2 linked regions of the Mytilus edulis genome follow. The protein of the gene in region 1 binds, or shares a complex with, the protein of each later gene. Links are inferred from orthologs where the notes say so. Each region holds a gene or a part of one and is shown on either strand. Other genes may lie near its edges.

The links.
Region 2: uncharacterized protein (region 1) and phosphatidylinositol N-acetylglucosaminyltransferase subunit C-like share a complex: the UniProt entries of both Homo sapiens proteins name them as parts of the glycosylphosphatidylinositol-N-acetylglucosaminyltransferase (GPI-GnT) complex. The link is inferred for Mytilus edulis from reciprocal best matches to the Homo sapiens genes DPM2 and PIGC.

The regions. Positions count from the first base shown.
Region 1 is NC_092345.1:2,382,460-2,391,830, forward strand, and holds uncharacterized protein, read right to left. Parts: upstream 3,816-9,371; 5' UTR 3,705-3,815; intron 3,591-3,704; exon of another isoform or gene 3,515-3,590; intron 2,682-3,514; 5' UTR 2,662-2,681; coding exon 2,569-2,661; intron 1,905-2,568; coding exon 1,802-1,904; intron 1,050-1,801; coding exon 1,000-1,049; 3' UTR 885-999; downstream 1-884. Other genes in the region: uncharacterized protein, read left to right, coding at 632-705. UniProt on the Homo sapiens protein: Regulates the biosynthesis of dolichol phosphate-mannose. Regulatory subunit of the dolichol-phosphate mannose (DPM) synthase complex; essential for the ER localization and stable expression of DPM1.
Region 2 is NC_092345.1:197,336-206,677, forward strand, and holds the start of phosphatidylinositol N-acetylglucosaminyltransferase subunit C-like, read right to left. Parts: upstream 3,850-9,342; 5' UTR 3,833-3,849; coding exon 3,715-3,832; intron 1,918-3,714; coding exon 1,848-1,917; intron 1-1,847. Other genes in the region: cilia- and flagella-associated protein 157-like, read left to right, coding at 4,219-4,373, 6,007-6,128, 6,673-6,822, 8,355-8,508. UniProt on the Homo sapiens protein: Part of the glycosylphosphatidylinositol-N-acetylglucosaminyltransferase (GPI-GnT) complex that catalyzes the transfer of N-acetylglucosamine from UDP-N-acetylglucosamine to phosphatidylinositol and participates in the first step of GPI biosynthesis.

The sequences.
Region 1 (9,371 bases):
ACGCAAGCCCAGATCCTAGAAACTACAATTTATGAATTGGAGAAAAGATCTTTTGTCACTTGATGCATTTATCTGTGACATGGGTCCACCCTATAATAAGGTCACATTGACCTTCATTATATCATTTTTAAGATTGAAATACAAATTCTAAAATATAAAGATATAGTGATTAGCTATTGTTCTAATTGGCTCTATCTTTTGAGATTGTTTGGTTTACTATGTTGTTGCATAGTTATTTTGTTGAGATAATAATAACATCTACTTTTCATAGATTCAAGGTGAACATTAAAAAGGTCTCTGTAAAAGGCAGATATTGGTAACTGAACAATTTATGCCAATGCCTTATATGTCAACTAGAAAGATGGTTAAAGATTAATCTTTAGTAGCGCTGAATTGTATGTTACTTTATACATGTCTTTTGATTATCTGTGTCATTAGGTTGCTGTCTCACATCAATGCATACCTGCTTACATCTCTTTTTATTATTGACAATTTTCTTGCATTCATCTTGAGATTTACTATTGGAAGGGTTTACCATAATTAATAATCTTCTTGAACTTAAACATATAACATGTTTTATGTAGTTCTTCTTTCACATAAATATGCTCAAATATAATGTTTTTTCTTACAGAAGAATCACAACAGCCATTAGAAACACCAAGACGAGTTATGCAGTCACTTTTGTCCTTTCCAACACCAAAATGACCGGGTTTTCATAAAGGCATTTCGCCTCATTTTGTATATTTTAACCTACTTTAAAGATAGAAATGTTGATTAAATTACCAATACATGTACAGCGTACCTGTGTATTATTTTAATATTGCTCAAACTCTAAATGTCATATATATTTGTGTTCAACACTTTAATACTATATAGTGAACATGTTCATGTCAATATTTTATTGGAAAAATAAAAGAATATTGCACTATAATAAGACGTTAATGTTTCAATGAATATCTGTTGTACATTCTGTTAGATCGACTGTAAATAACCAATCTGTCAGTTTGATTTAACTCTCTGTCCTCTGCAAGTCAGTAATACAAATAGACCTACAATAACAAACATAAGTAATGATTAACCAGATTCTTCTTACAGTTGTTTATTTAACACATTATTGAAAAAGGCAAAATGGGCTAATCCCAGTTGTTAATAGTGCTTTGAAGAAACATACTACACAATGCATATTGTTTTGGTGAATTGTTACACTCAGGAATTGAATGGCTATCACCACCAACATGAATCCGTATTTTGTTATTAATAAAATTGAGAATGAAAATGGGGAACGTTTCAAAGAGAAAACAACCCAATCAAAGAGCAGACAACAGCTGAAGGCCACTAATGGGGTTTTCAATGCAGCGAGAAATATTTGAACATTTTATTTCTCATTTCCATCATTTTTCCCATCTGACAATAAAAACATCGAAATTATTTCTGAATTTACAGTTCTATTCATATGATATAAAATTTGATGGATTCTGAGGGGAAACAATAACAAAGTACTAATTGTCTCGTATGAACAGCACACATTCCTTTCTTTACTTAAAGCATGTAAAGTTAAACCTTTTAAGGTTTCAAAAAAATGCATGTCTTGATGATGGTTATATAATTCATTTATAGAGAATAATTAGCTTTGTTTTAGGCTGAATATAAATTAAAAAGTTATGAAATAATCTAGAACTGTGCCAATAACTTCAAAATCAAACAGAACAATAACATCTTGTTTAAAATATGGCAAAAAAAAAAAAAAAAAATGTTTTTACCAATATGACATTAGATTTCAAACAAATAAAAATATATTTACCTATAACAGCTAATCCAGTGACACCCATCAGCAATGGAATACCTAATGCATATTTGTGGTCTGGAAAGACTTGGTGGAAGATTTGATCTTTGTCAACAAAGGGCTGAAAATAACAATGATTGCATAAACAATATGTGTTTTATCATAGCTATAAATAGCCATTTCAATTTAATATTCAGGTAAAAAAAATATATAATAAATGTGTTTACTTTTGTGCTCCACCTACTAAATTAATGTTCAATTTTCTTGGAGGTCTTTTTATAGTTACTGGTATTTGTTATGTTGTATAAGCATATATGCCACTTTCACCATGTTTTGAATCAATTGATTTCTAAGTCCAGTAACCTAAAAATGTGTGTTTGGACTTCTTGTTTTGCTTTAAATGAAAGTACATTAGACTCACTTATAAGTCCACATAATGAGATACATAGTTTGACAGAGAAACTCCTCAAAGTACTGACTTTAATCCTTTTTATTTAGCAAAAATGTTAATTCACTTACAACTTTTCTTACTTTTACAATTTTTTAAACTATTAGCAAAACATTGGTGTGAATATCATAGAATTGTCATTTTCATCAATATGTTAGAAGCGTTAAATTTTGAGAAATTTTCCATAATGAAAATTCAGAAATTGTTGTGTGCATTTCTTGTTGTGTTTTTTTTTTAAAAGAATGAACAAAAATGCTAGATTAATAACACTGTATTGCCAGTCAAATTAATCACAAAAAAAAAACTCAATATTATAAGAGTTTACAGTATATCTTACCAGAACAATAACCCAAACTGTGTAATAGATGTAAGCTATAGAGGTCACTGTGATCAGTGTCCAACCAGCCAATAATTCAAATGTTCTTGTCATCTTTCATCTTGGTATACAATCTGAAAAAAAAAAGTAATGATTGAGTTAGAGTCATTATAAAGTGTACCTGGTATGTCTTCTTGTTTTTTAATTGGCACATGTAAAGAGTTGAGAGTTCTGTAATGCTTCACATTGATGCACTAATGACTCATTCTCCGTCTAGTGGACTTATAACATTCTTTTAAAGAATCCAGTCCTTAGCAAGGAAGAAGAAGAAGGAGTGTTCCAAGTTAAATTTACCAGTTTATCTGTTTATAGTCATTGTAATGGCATGAGAGGAAAACATGTAATGTTGCATTCCTTGGATGTTTCTTGAATTTTAAATGTATTGGTTATGGTTAATTTCATACAAAAGGGATATAGTTTGTTTTATTGCCATACATGTACACATTTTTTAGTCTTTTTAATTTGTCAGCTGGTGTAAACAAAATAAACCAACACAAAATATACTCTGATCTTTATAATATTTGGTTCCACCTTTTCAATATATTGGGTACCTTTAGGGTTTAATTTTGCATGTTTATTTTAAAGTCATTGCCATAACTTTCAAATGTCTGTAAAGTTCAACATAAAATTGAAGAGACTTGTACCTGAAGCCAGGTGAATTGGATCAAGTGTTGAACACAAAAATTTATTTGTCAACTTTTATTCATAAAAGGAGGTCACAGGTGTGTTGCATATGTCAATAACCAAGCCTGACAAAAAACGTCTTTGAATAGAATTACAATCTTGGTGATACAGGACAATTTCCAATAGCAATGATACTAGAGTGGCAAACTTGCTATGAAGACCTACATGATTGAATATAATATATACATGTATGATATATTTATGGCCTCATATTTTGCCATACCATTTACATTTGTCAGTTCCAACCACAACTGGCTCATACATGCTGAGCTAATATTATATATATACATAAAGAGTAAAATGTACACTCGTACTAGATGTTGACCTTAGTAGGGCCTTTGTTTACAAATAGATGTATGATGGATAAAGCATGCGTTGTAGGATAAACGTTTTATATATCCATCCTACTATACCTTGACTGGTCAATTTTGATACGTATTTAATACGTTTCTAAGATTACCTTCAAAACAAAGTTTCAACATTATTTACATTTTTTCCAGGAAGTTAAATTCATAGTATAAAATATAAAGTCAAAGTAGGTAAATTTCCGGAAAATATCCCTTTTTATATTGGTATTTGTTTCACGTCCACTGAGGCTGGGACTATAGTCCCAGACTGAGGTTACAATCTTTCTGTTATTTTTACAAACGAACGTGTAAATTTTACATGCTTGGGCAGGTCATCAACTGCTAAGTGTTTTTTCCAGAAAATTATAACTAGCTACTAGGATTTATCAACATATTGCGTAGATACAAGTCATGCAGTCAGTTAAAAAAATCTCTAAAACTGATTTTATCTTGATGCTTGATTTCTTGATTGACAAAACATATTAATTAATTACGTTTGGAGGACGTGTTTTTCGATCGGGATCTGTATCTGAAATTCTTAGAAAGATAGTAGGCTAAATGATCTCTAACTAAAAGTAAAGTAATTCAAAAATTAATAACTACTGGAAACTTAAAGAAGAAGAAGAAGAACTATGTTGAACGCATCAATATCATATCGAACTTGAGAAAAAAGGGTTCAACAGATACGATAGAGGTAAGGATTTTCTGTTTTGAATTTACCGGAGTTCGGTATTTTTGCTTTTTTTACTTTTTTTATACAACAGCTCGTGTATATTTTGAAAATGTGTGAAGATTCAAAACAAATATTAAAATATTTAGGTTTTAAAGCATTCCAATGTCCAATCGATCTAAAGATGAAGGATACAGTTAAGTCTGCATCTTATGTCGACTAACATCCAGAAATTGATATTGATTATCGGTTGAAACCCAAACTTAACGACAAACGAGATATCAGCTTTCCAATTGTGAACTTTCCATTTCTGTGTGACTTTCCAGCTTACGAAGTATATAACTCCCACTATAAGAGGCAAATTGAGGGGGAAACGGAAATATTTTGTTAATTATGTAGTGTAATCACTGGATCGGGTAATCTCGTATGAGGTCAGTGGCCTCCATTTTGAAAATTTCTGAATCTGCCACGATAGACGATTGCTGCTCACAAGGAAGCTATTTATATATTGAAGAGTTCCAAGTGGTGAAGTTGAATTCGTCTCAGTTTGTAAATTTTACGGACGCAATCACAAGTGGGTTGACCATTATGGAATATTTGTTTCTCAGATGACAACAATGTGTTCCTATGTTGTGATTACACTCCTGTCCCCTTTTCCTCGAATTCGAACGTCTGAGTTATACCTGTTATCGGGTGCCGCAGTGAAGCATGTGTACCTTTCCGGATCACCTGAGATCACCCCCTTTTTTGGTGGGGTTCGTGTTGCTCATGCAGTCTTTGCTTCTCTATATTGGGTTTTGTATACTGTGTACTGTTGTTTGTCTGTTTGTCATTTTCTGTTCTGCGTTATCATTTTATTTTTGGCTTGTGAATGTGCCTTTGGTATCCCTAGCCTTTCTTGTATGTTATATGATCTTATAGGCGTAACACGATGGATGTCACATGTGGAACGGAATCTGATTACCCTGCCGGTGCATCCTAGTTCATCATATATGCATTTTGTGGTCCATGTCTTAATTTACCGAAGTTACACAAAGCTACAAAAAAAGCCCACAAAACACAAAAAGAACAAAGAAATTGCCATTAAAATTAAAATACATATACTACTGAGCAGTTTTAAAATGAATGGATGAGTCTGTTTAATCATCGCTAAGGATCTCTTGATAATCAAATTAACTTGATTGTATGAAAAATAATCTCTCAAGTGTGGACCCACATTAATGTTGTGCGCATATAAAGGGAAAATTGGATTCATGCATATCATCGCTGAATTCTGGAACATTATAATGTGTTGCCATATCAAAATCGAGATGAATTGAAATAGGGCTTGAGCATGGAATATACTAGCATACAGATTGTGTCAAATGTTTAAGATACCCACATTTTGTACGTTTAGGGTTACTTTGGCTGGATTTTGCATGGTAGGGCTGGTGTTGCCTAGTCTTTTCTTTAGTTTTCAATTTTATGTTGATGCTTGTCTTTTGGTAGTAAAATGGTGTCACATTTGGCGAAAGCACTGCCTAATATTCAAATATCATTGATATGGTAATATTCATAGATTAATTGTTGATCAAACTAGAATAGTTAAAAATACTAAGAATCTTCTACGCTAGAAATACTCAGATGGTTGACACGTATTTTGCAAAACCTTTCGGAATTTTTGGTCCTCAGTCTTCGTTCTTTATTTGGCTTTTTAGAACTTTTTTGTATTCGAGTGTCTGGTGAAGTTGTAGACGAACGAACGTATTATAATGATATAGTCATAATTACATTAGATGTATGTTTCATTATAATACGTTATTCTGATTGGCTAACTAGCAATCTCGTGATATTCCTTAATCAATTGCATTACACAATGCAACTTTTCAATCATGATGACACGAGGTCCCACAATAAAGTGCACAGGTAAATGAAATAAAAACTTGATAAAAGGCGTGTTTTCATGATCCTATAGGTAAAAATGTAATTATAAGTATTGAATGCTTTTTTTGTAACTTTATAGGGTTGTAAAAGCGTTGACCGTGCGCACATTTTTAGTATGAAGCGCGGAAGCGCTTCATACAAAATGTACTTCGGTCAACGCTTTTACACCGCAATTAATTTACAAAAAAGAGCATTCAATTCTTAAATTGTACCTTTGATGTGTTGTTTTACCCTTTTATTTTGGGAGGGGGGGGGCGGGGCTGAGTTAACTCCCGGTTTTTGTATGGGTTCGTGTAGTTCAATCTTTATAGTTCTCTTCATTGTAAAATTGTTCATTCTTTTCATTGTTTTTTTCTGTGTTTTTTGTACCACGACGTTGTCAGTTTTTTTACGACTTGTGAGTTTTGAATGCACCTTCTCTTTCTTATCAATTAATAATCAAATAACTTAAGTCCGTTCATCTGTCCGTTCTTCCGTCTGTCCCGCTTCAGGTTAAAGTTTTTGGTCGAGGTAGTTTTTGATGAAGTTGAATTCCAATCAACTTCAAACTTAGTATACATGTTCCCTATAATATGATCTTTCTAATGTTAATGCCAAATTAGAGATTTTATCTCAATTTCACGGTCCATTGAACACAGAAAATGATGGCGCAAGTTTCAGGTTAAAGTTTTTGGTTAAAGTTTTTAATGAAGTTAAAGTCCAATCAACTTGAAACTTAGTATACATGTTTCCATGATATGATCTTTCTAATTTTAATGCCAGAGTAGAGTTTTTACTCCAATTTCACGGTCCACTAAACATAGAAAATGATAGTGGAACATCCATGTACTATGGACATATTCTTGTTTGTACTAAACTTGGACAGAGGCTTGTTCGTATCTAGAAGGAAATTTTGTTAAAATTTTGTACCTGTGTATCTGTATTTTACTAACAAATGGACTTAGTTTTTCTTCCAGTTAACATTACATACATTCTGGAATTAAATTTTTTAAACATTTATTTGATTCATAAACTATCCTGGATTTTTACCAAACTTGGACAGAAGCTTCTTACATTCAAACGATAGTATCAAGAGGAATATTTTTATTGATTTTTTCCCTCGTTTTTGTTGAACCTGCGATTTACAGATAACGTAGGCGAGACACTGGGTTCCGCGGAACCCTTATTATTTTTTTTTATACAGGATCAACAGGATCACCAAGTACAATTTATACATTAGGTCGTAATATACATCTCTGTTGTTTTTGCTCTTCTCTGTATAAGTTTTTAACTGTTTCTGCGTTGTAAAACTATTGACAAGAAGCCAAAGAAGAACAGAAAGTGCATGTTTACATGGAACAATTGATCATTAAAAGGATGCGATTCGAAGAAGAAGACAAATCAACCATGTGTATTTTGGTATCTTTAGTGACCTATACCTTGACCTAGGACAATTAAAATTTGATAACTGTAGTGACTTAAACTTTGTAATGAAACAATTGAATTTTAAAAGGATGCGATTCCAAATTTTAATTACCTGAAAGTCTCTCGGAACAATTCTGCTTAAAAGCGCCTGTCAACCATATAGTTTGAGGACAGTTACGACCGTATGTTTGACATGGACCACTTGAACTAAATTTCGATGTGATTCAAAATTTGAGGAATTTCCTGGAAGTCATCAGAACAATCATGATTTGGTAAAGCATCTAGTAACCATATATGTTAGGTGTTGCTGTGACCTTAACACATTGAACAATTGAACTTCAACAGGATATTTAAAAACACTATATCAGTTAAACGAATCTGGAAACAAGGTACCTAGCAACGAAATAATTAAAAAAAGTAAGTCACTGCTAGCATGGTTACATCTACGTGTATATATCTCATTGTCTACTATTTCAAAACAATATTTCTTTTCTATTGTTCTTCTTGGATTTTGGATGTTCCTCAAATGACATACTTTTTTATAGGACTGTAATAACGATGTCCAGGCATAAAACGAATCTGAGCAATTTCCTATAAAAGTTGTTTACCACCCTACCCCTAGGATTTCATGCAAAGTCCATTAGTTCTTTTTTAGGTAAAGATTGCATGAAATTCAATCAAAACCTTATTGGACTGACTTTTTCAAAGGCTTATCACTACCTTTTTTGATACACAAAATATAGTGCATTGATCATAACATTCTAGACATCCTATCCATGAACATTTCCAGAAATTTATCAATGTAATTTTAAGGCACAAAATAATGTTACACGTGTCAAGAAAATAACATAACTTTTATAAGTTGCATGAATTTAATAACTGTTCTAAAAATAGAATGGTCATTGTTAGAATCGTCTTTGAAAATTTGGAGTTATCTTCCTTTATAAACAAAGATGTGTTATGATTGCCAATGCGACAACTGTCCGCTTTGTCTATAATTACTGTTAAATCAACTACAACCAATGCATTAATTAATTTTACTTCCCACTGTTAAATTAAAGCAATCTTTACCGTTCAGTGCTATCAAGCACTTTGATTTAGTTATAGTGTTAATCCATCAAGGTAACACGGTTTACTCCTCTCACTTAAGATGGTCCATTTCAATAAGACCAGTAGTTTAAGTAGAGATTTCTTAATCTTGCATTGTGATGAAAAGACTATGATTAACCTTTTGGATCAGGTTAAAACAAATTGCAGACTGCATTAACATCATCAAGGTGTCTTTTAAAATAATGTCCCAAGGTTCATTTTCAGCACAAATACAATTTTTATGTTGGATAATGAGGGTCAGTTTTGTGTATTTTAGAAGAAATTTCCTTCATTGTTGCTTTGCTTAATTTTGTTGTTTTATATGTGCATCATGCTTTGTTTTTTTTGTTTTGTATACATTTTCATAATCCTCACCAAAGCTTGTTTGTATTTTTAGGCTATACAAAATGCAGCTTTCAGTTCTATTATAGAGGCCACATGCATAGCTCTGAATTCTTGTCAAGGTTTTGCTTCTTTTGGTTTTATCAGCTCAACATTTGTATTAACTTTTTGGACTTGTAATTATTTAGGCCACTCTAGAGACATTAGCTTTCAAAACATGCTTGTATGATAAAATTAAGATTAAGTTAATCTTAAGAGTCCTAACAAATGCAAACCATTGACATGGTGATGGAACTATCATAGAT
Region 2 (9,342 bases), about 2.2 Mb from region 1:
AGTTATTGGCAAATAAAAATAGAAAATGACATCATAGTCATGTCTGGCAAATTTCCAACATATATTATCAACTACTATTCTATACAAAGAAAGATAACTCCAATTGAAAATTAATTGCTATTGCACAATATTGTGCAATTAGATATTTCTTGCTATTGTGCAATACTGTGCAATTGAAAATTTCTTGCTATTGCACAATATTTCATATGGAATCCTGATTTGGACCAACTTGAAAACTGGGCCCATAATCAAAAATCAAAGTACATATTTAGATAAAGCATATCAAATAAGCCCAAGAATTTAATTTTTGTTAAAATCAAACTTAGTTTAATTTTGGACCCTTTGGACCTTAATGTAGACCAATTTGAAAACTGGACCAAAAATTAAGAATCTACATACACAGTTAGATTTTGCATATCAAAGAACCCATTTATTCAATTTTTGATGAAATCAAACAAAGTTTAATTTTAGACCCCCATTTGGACCAACTTGAAAACTAGGCCAATAATTAAAAGTCTAAGTACATTTTTAAATTCAGCATATCAAAGAACCCCAAGGATTCAATTTTTGTTAAAATCAAACTAAGTTTAATTTTGGACCCTTTGGACCTTAATGTAGACCAATTTGAAAACGGGACCAAAAGTTAAGAATCTACATACATAGTTAGATTCGGCATATCAAAGAACCCCAATTATTCAATTTTTGATGAAATCACACAAAGTTCAATTTTGGACCCTTTGGGCCACTTATTCCTAAACTGTTAGGACCAAAACTCCCAAAATCAATACCAACCTTCCTTTTGTGGTCATAAACATTGTGTTTAAATTTCATTGATTTCTATTTACTTAAACTAAAGTTATTGTGCGAAAACCTAGAATAATGCTTATTTGGGCCCTTTTTTGGCCCCTAATTCCTAAACTGTTGGAACCAAAACTCCCAAAATCAATCCCAACCTTTCTTTTGTGGTCATAAACCTTGTGTCAAAATTTCATAGATTTCTATTAACTTAAACTAAAGTTATAGTGCGAAAACCAAGAAAATGCTTATTTGGGCCCTTTTTGGCCCCTAATTCCTAAAATGTTGGGACCAAAACTCCCAAAATCAATACCAACCTTCCTTTTGTGGTCATAAACCTTGTGTTAAAATTTCATAGATTTCCATTCACTTTTACTAAAGTTAGAGTGCGAAAACTAAAAGTATTCGGACGCCGGACGACGACGACGCCGACGACGCCGACGCCAACGTGATAGCAATATAGGACGAAAAATTTTTCAAATTTTGCGGTCGTATAAAAAGTAAACCATTATAGGTCAATGTACGGCTTTCAACACGGAGCCTTGGCTCACACCGAACAACAAGATATAAAGGGCCCCAAAATTACTAGTGTAAAACCATTCAAACGGGAAAAACCAATGGTCTAATCTATATTAAAAAAAACGAGAAACGAGAAACACGTATAAATTACATAAACAAACAACAACTACTGTACATCAGATTCCTGACTTAGGACAGGTGCAAACATTTGCAATACATGAACGGAGGGTGTTTTCAAAAACCACAGCCTGATGCCTGTATCCAAATGTGTTGTCTGTACCCAAATTTGTTAGAATCTTTTTTATGTATAAATTCTGTTGTGTGGAGTTGCAATAAAAAAATCTACTGCAGTATGTTAAAAAACTATGTTAATATTCTAAGTTCAAAAGGACATCAATCATATATAAATTATGGAATCATAATTTCCTGTCGATATACACATCTACATATCTTCAAAGTTTCAATATTTCAATGATAAATTTCATCAATAGTGAGCAAAGCTGACTTTCATTTACCCAGTTAACATTTAATACCTGCTTATCTGTTGAGTTACTTCTCCTGATTGTTCACAAACTGTCCAATAATCATACTTCCTTGTATGTACTGAAAAAGAAGTAACAAAAATTATGTTTTCCTGTAATACATTGTTTGAATATCAGGTCTTAAAATACACATTGCTCCTGTTGAGATATACATGATAAAGTCTAAACTATTGAATTTATAATGCAGACCCTGAAAATCAATTCTCAACAACCTAATGACTCAATAATCTATAAGAAGTCAGCCTAGTCTAGTGGTCAAATACTGTGATCAAGCTGATTTCTTATACAATTTGTCAATCTATAAATGCAGACGCGTAGCTCCCTTTAAGCTAACAGGCAGTTGCAAAAAATGGCAAAAATTGAATGTTAAAGGAAACATAATCATGATAATGTTGTCACTTTTTTAATTGATGAAATATTATTAATTTACGGCATTCGGTTTCAAAATAAAAGTTTAATCATGGTTATTGGAGATTATGACAAAATCAGACAGTAACTTGTATCTTTTACAAGATTTTAATTCGTAATACTCAGTCTAAGACATGTAGTTTAGGAGCACATTTTACAGTGTACATTTTCATCAGTTTGGAATGAGATGACGTACCAATCGCATTAGAATTATCAGAACCATTCAATATCGTTGAAAATATGCTGAGGCGATGTGGTCGACAGACTTCCGGAGCCAATCACCCTGCAAACACGCCAAAACAGTATTTGAAAGTGCTCATTATTTTTTGCGTTCATAGACCATATGATAAGGGAACTGGAGAGTGAAGTTGTGTCTAGTATTATCAGAAGATCACTTCTTTGCGCTGTATCTGCTTCATTGTGTTGAAGGAAATATAACAAACAAATGAATCTCAACATTGTCTGAGACATACGAAACTGACCTAGCATGTATTTCGACTAATTCAATTCTATCAGTGTACAATGTATGTTGAAAACAAATGTATGATCAACAATGAACAACGACAGTTACTAGCATTACTGCATATTCATCAGAATTTCAGTGTGAATATTGACAAAGTAATAGAGAAGTTTGTTTCTGCCTAGACCTGAAGAGCAGATTTTGGATGATTTTAAGTAAATTCTGTATCACAAATATGTGATAATGTGTTGTTTATGTATTACTCTATTCAGAAGATTTATTAATAATTTTGCATTTCATAATTTTTTTATAAGTCCTATCTACATTGCTCCCCTTTTAACAGTCCTATGAGCGAAAACCGAAAAAAAACATTTTGTAGCCGATTTAACTAGGTGCCGATTTGACTAGAAGGGCGAACGGACCCGATACCGTTATAAATGGTAAACGGACAGAAAGTCACAGGACAAAAAGTCACAGGACATAAAGTCACAAATTTGGTAGGACTAAAAGTCACAGGACAAAAAGTCACAAATAATTTATTGACAATTGTTTTAATATATAAGAATATATCTTGAAATATTTACTTTTTAATACATATATTCATATTTAAGTTTAGGAAATGTGTCATTATACTTGAAAAATGAAGATTTATTTAATTTTAATCCTGCAGAAGATGTTTTTCTTGGCACCATGAAGCCATTTAAGTGCCAAGTCACTTTGACATTTTGTTTTTTCAACAATTATTTGATAATCTTTGATATTTTTTTGATATATTTTGTTTAAAAAGTTGGTTTATATACAATAGTTTAAGAAAAGTACAAAAATATTTTTGTAGAAATAAGCGTTATTTATTCAAAGAAAATAATCAGTAAAAATGAATTGTGACTTTTTGTCCTGTGACTTTTTGTCCGTGACTTTTTGTCTGTGACTTTTTGTCCTGTGACTTTCTGTCCTACATTCGTTTTAAATACGTTGTGAAATTCATCATACGGTTCTTTTGGAGTTCATCTAAAAACGACGAATCTACATAATTGTCTGGAACGCTTTGGTCTTCGTACAAAATTTTCCTCCATCGTTTTTGTTGCTTGTCTACCATTTTTGTGGTCATGTGATATAAATACTTAAGGTGCGCTCTAAAATAAATCCCGAGAGATATTTTTTGGGGGTCTGTCTGAAAACCGCAAACAATAATAGATTGATTATATTTTATATCAATACTTAGTTGAAAACAGAAATAAGTTTTAATCGTGCTTCATTTTATTTAGAATTACTGTTCTGAAAAGGCACATTAAAGACGAACATAAAGAAAACAAATATAATAAATAGAAAATTGTAGATTCCGTCACAGCTGAAAGTCGAACGCACAGAGGGTTTCCAAGGCATTAGTAGCAACAATATGGCGACTGACAAGTGATATTATTTTCATTTGGCTCTGTGTAAAAGCTGTCGACCTGTCTTTAATTCTTTTGATTTATCTGTATAACATTTTTTAAAATGCCACCAAAAAAGAAGAAGAGTGGAAAGAAAGGAAAGAAAAGTGCTAAGAAATCAGGACGTGGATCTGCTAAGCCACCAGGAGAGCAATTAAATGAACTTTCAAAAGAATATTATCTAATTCAAATAAGAGATTTGGAAAACAGACTTGTCCGGTTAGTTTTACTTGAAATGTGTCGTTTCACTATCATTTTTCAACATTTTGTTTTACAAATATACTGTCACTGACCTTAATTTGCTTGCATATATATTTAAATGTATTGCTGTCATTTAATTGGCCTTTTTTTGGAATCCAAGAAAACTCAGATTATGCTCCTTTTTTAATGCTACTTCCATATTTATATAAAAAAAATTGTCACTGAAAACACACTTGAGGTCGAAGAACAGCTGCGAAAAATATTATCCCTTACACTTTGTACATGTATTCTTTGTTTTTTTCTCATTCCACATATACATGTTGTTTAAAACTGGTCCAGATTCTGATTGACATTTATCAATTAATATCCCTTATGAGATGCTATACATGTAGGCGAATTTACCGAAACCTGTAACATGACATGTATCATTTAATGTTGGAAGATCTATAAATTATCATTATTTCATTACTATCAACCAAAAGTTGTTTGACATTTTATGGTTTGATTAACATATAATTATACTTGTATGTACGGTGCAGTCCGGTGTATCAGCATACCTAAGAACTATGACTTCACTTCATTCATTTTTGTCATTCAACTGAAAAAAACTAATAATTGGATAAATTTGTGTGAACACATTCATTACATACTATTATTTCATAAAATCTTCTCTTTGTATATATACATGTATGGTTTAAATTTCATTCTCTAGATTTTGTGTATTGTGTGTCCAAAATTAGGGAAACCCCTGTTCTGAGCATACCCGTAGCCAGGGGGGGTTCGAGGGGTTCGGACGAACCCCCCCTTGAAAACTAATAAGCACTGTTAAAGTCGATGTTCTGTTCGAATTGTGACTGTTAAAGTCGAGTTTGTGAGTCAAACGAACCCCCCTTTGGAAAATCCTGGCTACGGGCCTGCTGAGAGTAATCCTCCTAGGTCCGGTGATTTCGTGCATGCCGTTCAAAAATAGCTTATTTTGAATAAAGGAAAGATTTCTTACCACAAAATATAGCGGAGATTGAATTAAGCACACTGTGACTGCCAAGGATGCAGAGCAAAAATTTCAATCTGATTTAAATTTGACTTTTAAAAATAAAACAAATTTTATCTGATCATGATGATTTTTTAATGGAAATTTGCAAAATATATGGTAAATCATGGGATTGCAGTTATTAATTAACTCTTCAACTTAATCAATTTTATTCTTTTTTATGCCTTTGGAAGACTAAAACAATAACAAGATAGATTTTATTTGTGTTACTGAGTCATGTGAGTTGATATGACGAAATCAGCAAATGTGCAATATCACAGGCTGCACGGACACAGGGGACTCCACTGTACTGTACAGAACACAGAACATAATCAATATATAAACTGTATTTATTATCATGATCATTATATTACAATAACAGACAATATGTTTACCAACTAAAAATTGTCTGACCTTTTATGTTCTGATTAACATACACATGTGAAATGTAAATCATTATTGACTAATACTATATAATATTACAAACATGAAAAATATGATTGATTTGGCTATACAGACAAAATACATGGCTAAATGCATCATGCACATGTACATGTATGTAAATGTAGCATGTGTAGATTGGATATAATATAATGAATGTTTTTTTAATAACTTTTTAAGGTACCAGAAAAAATGTGATGAGTTAGAAGTTCAGAAAGGAGCTTTTGAGTCACAAAAAGATTATGAGATCAAGAATAAAGAACAGATTATTCTCTGGCTAGAAGGAAAACTGAATAGAAGTGGTACGTTAAGACATCAACACTCAGATCTAAGCAATAGAAATATTAATTTGAAGTCAGACTCAGATTCAATACAATTGAGATAGATAGAAAGTTAAACTGTTAGCCTGAGCTATCATTAAAAATTCAACTGTTTTTCTTTGCTATCATTACAAGTAACACTGTTCGCACCCATAACCAGGGGAGCATGTCACCCACCCTTGAAAACAAATAAGCACTGTTAAAGTTTACGTTCTGTTTGAATTGTAACTGTTAAAAGAGTTTGTTTCCCCCCCCCCTCCCCAGAAATTCCTGGCATTGGGTCTGCTGTTATTCTGAAATAGCATAACAAGTTGCACTGTTTGTCTGAGCTCCAAAAATAAGATGTGGAATGATTGCCAATGAGACAAGTCTCTACAAGAGACCAATTGGCACAGAAATTAACAACTATAAGTCATTGTATGGCCTTCAACAATGAGCCATGCTATACCACATTATGTTTTGGGATTTGAAAGTTACATATTTTGTTTGGATATATTCACATTATTTATCTATTTTATCATTTTAGAGGATGAATGCAATGATTTGAAGGACCAGCTGATTGGTTTGGAGCAAACATTGGAATCCGAGAAAGAACGCTTGAATGCTCAGATCCATCAGCTAAGAACAGAATATCAGGAGAAAAATGACAAACTTTCAGCAGAATTAACACTAACTAGTAAGTGTGGACTCACATGCATGTACCTTGTAAATACACAGAATTAACACTAACTAGTAAGTGTGGACTCACATGCATGTACCTTGTAAATACACAGAATTAACACTAACTAGTAAGTGTGGACTCACATGCATGTACCTTGTAAATACACAGAATTAACACTAACTAGTAAGTGTGGACTCACATGCATGTACCTTGTAAATACACAGAATTAACACTAACTAGTAAGTGTGGACTCACATGCATGTACCTTGTAAATACACAGAATTAACACTAACTAGTAAATGTGGACTCACATGCATGTACCTTGAAAATACACAGAATTAACACTAACTAGTAAGTGTGGACTCACACATATGTACCTTGTAAATACACTGTATAAACACTAACTAGTAAGTGTGGACTCACATGCATGTACCTTGTAAATACACAGAATTAACACTAACTAGTAAGTGTGGACTCACATGCATGTACCTTGTAAATACACAGAATTAACATTAACTAGTAAGTGTGGACTCACATGCATGTACCTTGTAAATAAATGTTTAGAATGATTGACATTAGTGTGAATCAGTCTTAAATGTCAAGAAGGTTAAACAGCACAGTTTGTGAAATTTTATTGGACCTGTAAACATTTTCCTTATATTTACAGGCCAATATTTTATATTATTCTCCTAAATAGGAGTCAGGCTTTTTGACCAACTTGTTTAGGATAGTGAATGGGTATTTTTCTGTATCATATTGAATCTCTATTGCTTGTTATAAATGGATTATAGTTTATACAGCAGCTTAACATTTATAAGTTGACAATGCAAAGTTACATCATGTTTTTTTCCATATCAGTAGTGTACCCTCTACATCAAAACTGGTTTTTTTGTATGGATAAAATCTCTCTAGTTTCCTAAGTTGTTTACTTACTGTTGAATAAAATGTATATAGATTAGATTTAACATGTTCAAAAACGCGTCGCCAGTAAACTTAATTTGCGACCATCAAATCCCCAATTGATGCCGTCGGAACTTAAAATACAATACAGTTATCTCCTAAATGATAGTGACAACCAGTGTCCTTCAATGACAACCAAGGGAAAGAATATTAAGAAAACTGTTTAAAAAATTATCTTAGCTGTTAAGAATGCATGAAATATCAGGTAGAATTGATAAAAAAAATTCTCATTTAAACATGTCTGAATTGAAATACTGTGGATTCATTAATATTCGTTGGATACCAATTTTCGTGGATTTCGTTGGTACAAGAGAACCACGAATTCAAATGTTCAACGAATGACAAATTTTCTAAAGGAATGAGTGTAGACTTGCCAAAACCACGAAATTAGATATCCACGAATATGTAAATTTTCCTCAAACCACATAATTGGTACCCACGAAAATAAATGAATCCACAGTAGCTACAATTAGCTGTACCAATAAAAGTCTTGTTCCATCGTTCAAATCAATTCAAAACTGAAATAGAGGGTTCAGCACAAAACCTAATTTCATGTGATTGCAAAAGATTTGTCTTTATCATTCCAGCTGGGAAGTTGAATGCATTGGAAGAATTTCGAGTACAACAAGATGAACTCAACAAGAAGTTTGCAGAGCTTGAAGCAAAGCTTAATCAAAAAGATCTTGACCATGACAAAGAAATCTATGACTTGGAAAGAAAGGCAGTGATAGAAAAAGATAGGTGTGTGAGGTTTAAAATCCCTGTACATTTCAAACAGACAAAATATTGGTAGATTTTGGTACAGTTTGGTATTTCACTCTTGATATAAGGTGGTACCTAACACTTTCACTAAAATTAATTTGGCTCGTTTAATTCTAATAAAATGTTGACAAAGTATTTACTTTGACCCTTTAACAAAAATATAAAAATTTCAAAAATTTTGAACCAACTGTTTTGTTAGAAAAAATACACTGGTTATATAGCAGTTTGACAAGCACCAATTTTGATCATTAAGAAGCTTAATATTCCCTTTACAATACAACACAATGTAATTAAAACGTTTAGCTGACACATTATTAGTGAGAAAATAATATTTTTTAGACATATTTTGAAATACTTTCTCAACTTTGTATTCAGTAAATGCTATTCTTATACATAGCTTGACATAATGTCCATAATAATCTAGATTTTTGTTTCCAGATATTCATATCTATGGCCTTCTGTTTGCTGGGGATTCATTATTATTTGTGGGTACCAATTATCATGGATTGAAGAATCTTTGTATTTTCGTGGATAGTTAATTTTGTTGTTTTTGACAGTCTGCATAATTTCCAAAACAAAATATAAAATTCATTGGACATTTTAATTTGTGGTTTACCTGTAATCATTAAATCAACAAAAATTGATATTCCACAAGTAATAATCATGATAATAAATCAACAAAGATTGATATTCCACAAGTAATAATCATGATAATAAATCAACAAAGATTGATATTCCACAAGTAAAAATCATGATTATAAATCCACAAAGATTGATATTCTACAAGTAATAATCATGATAATAAATCAACAA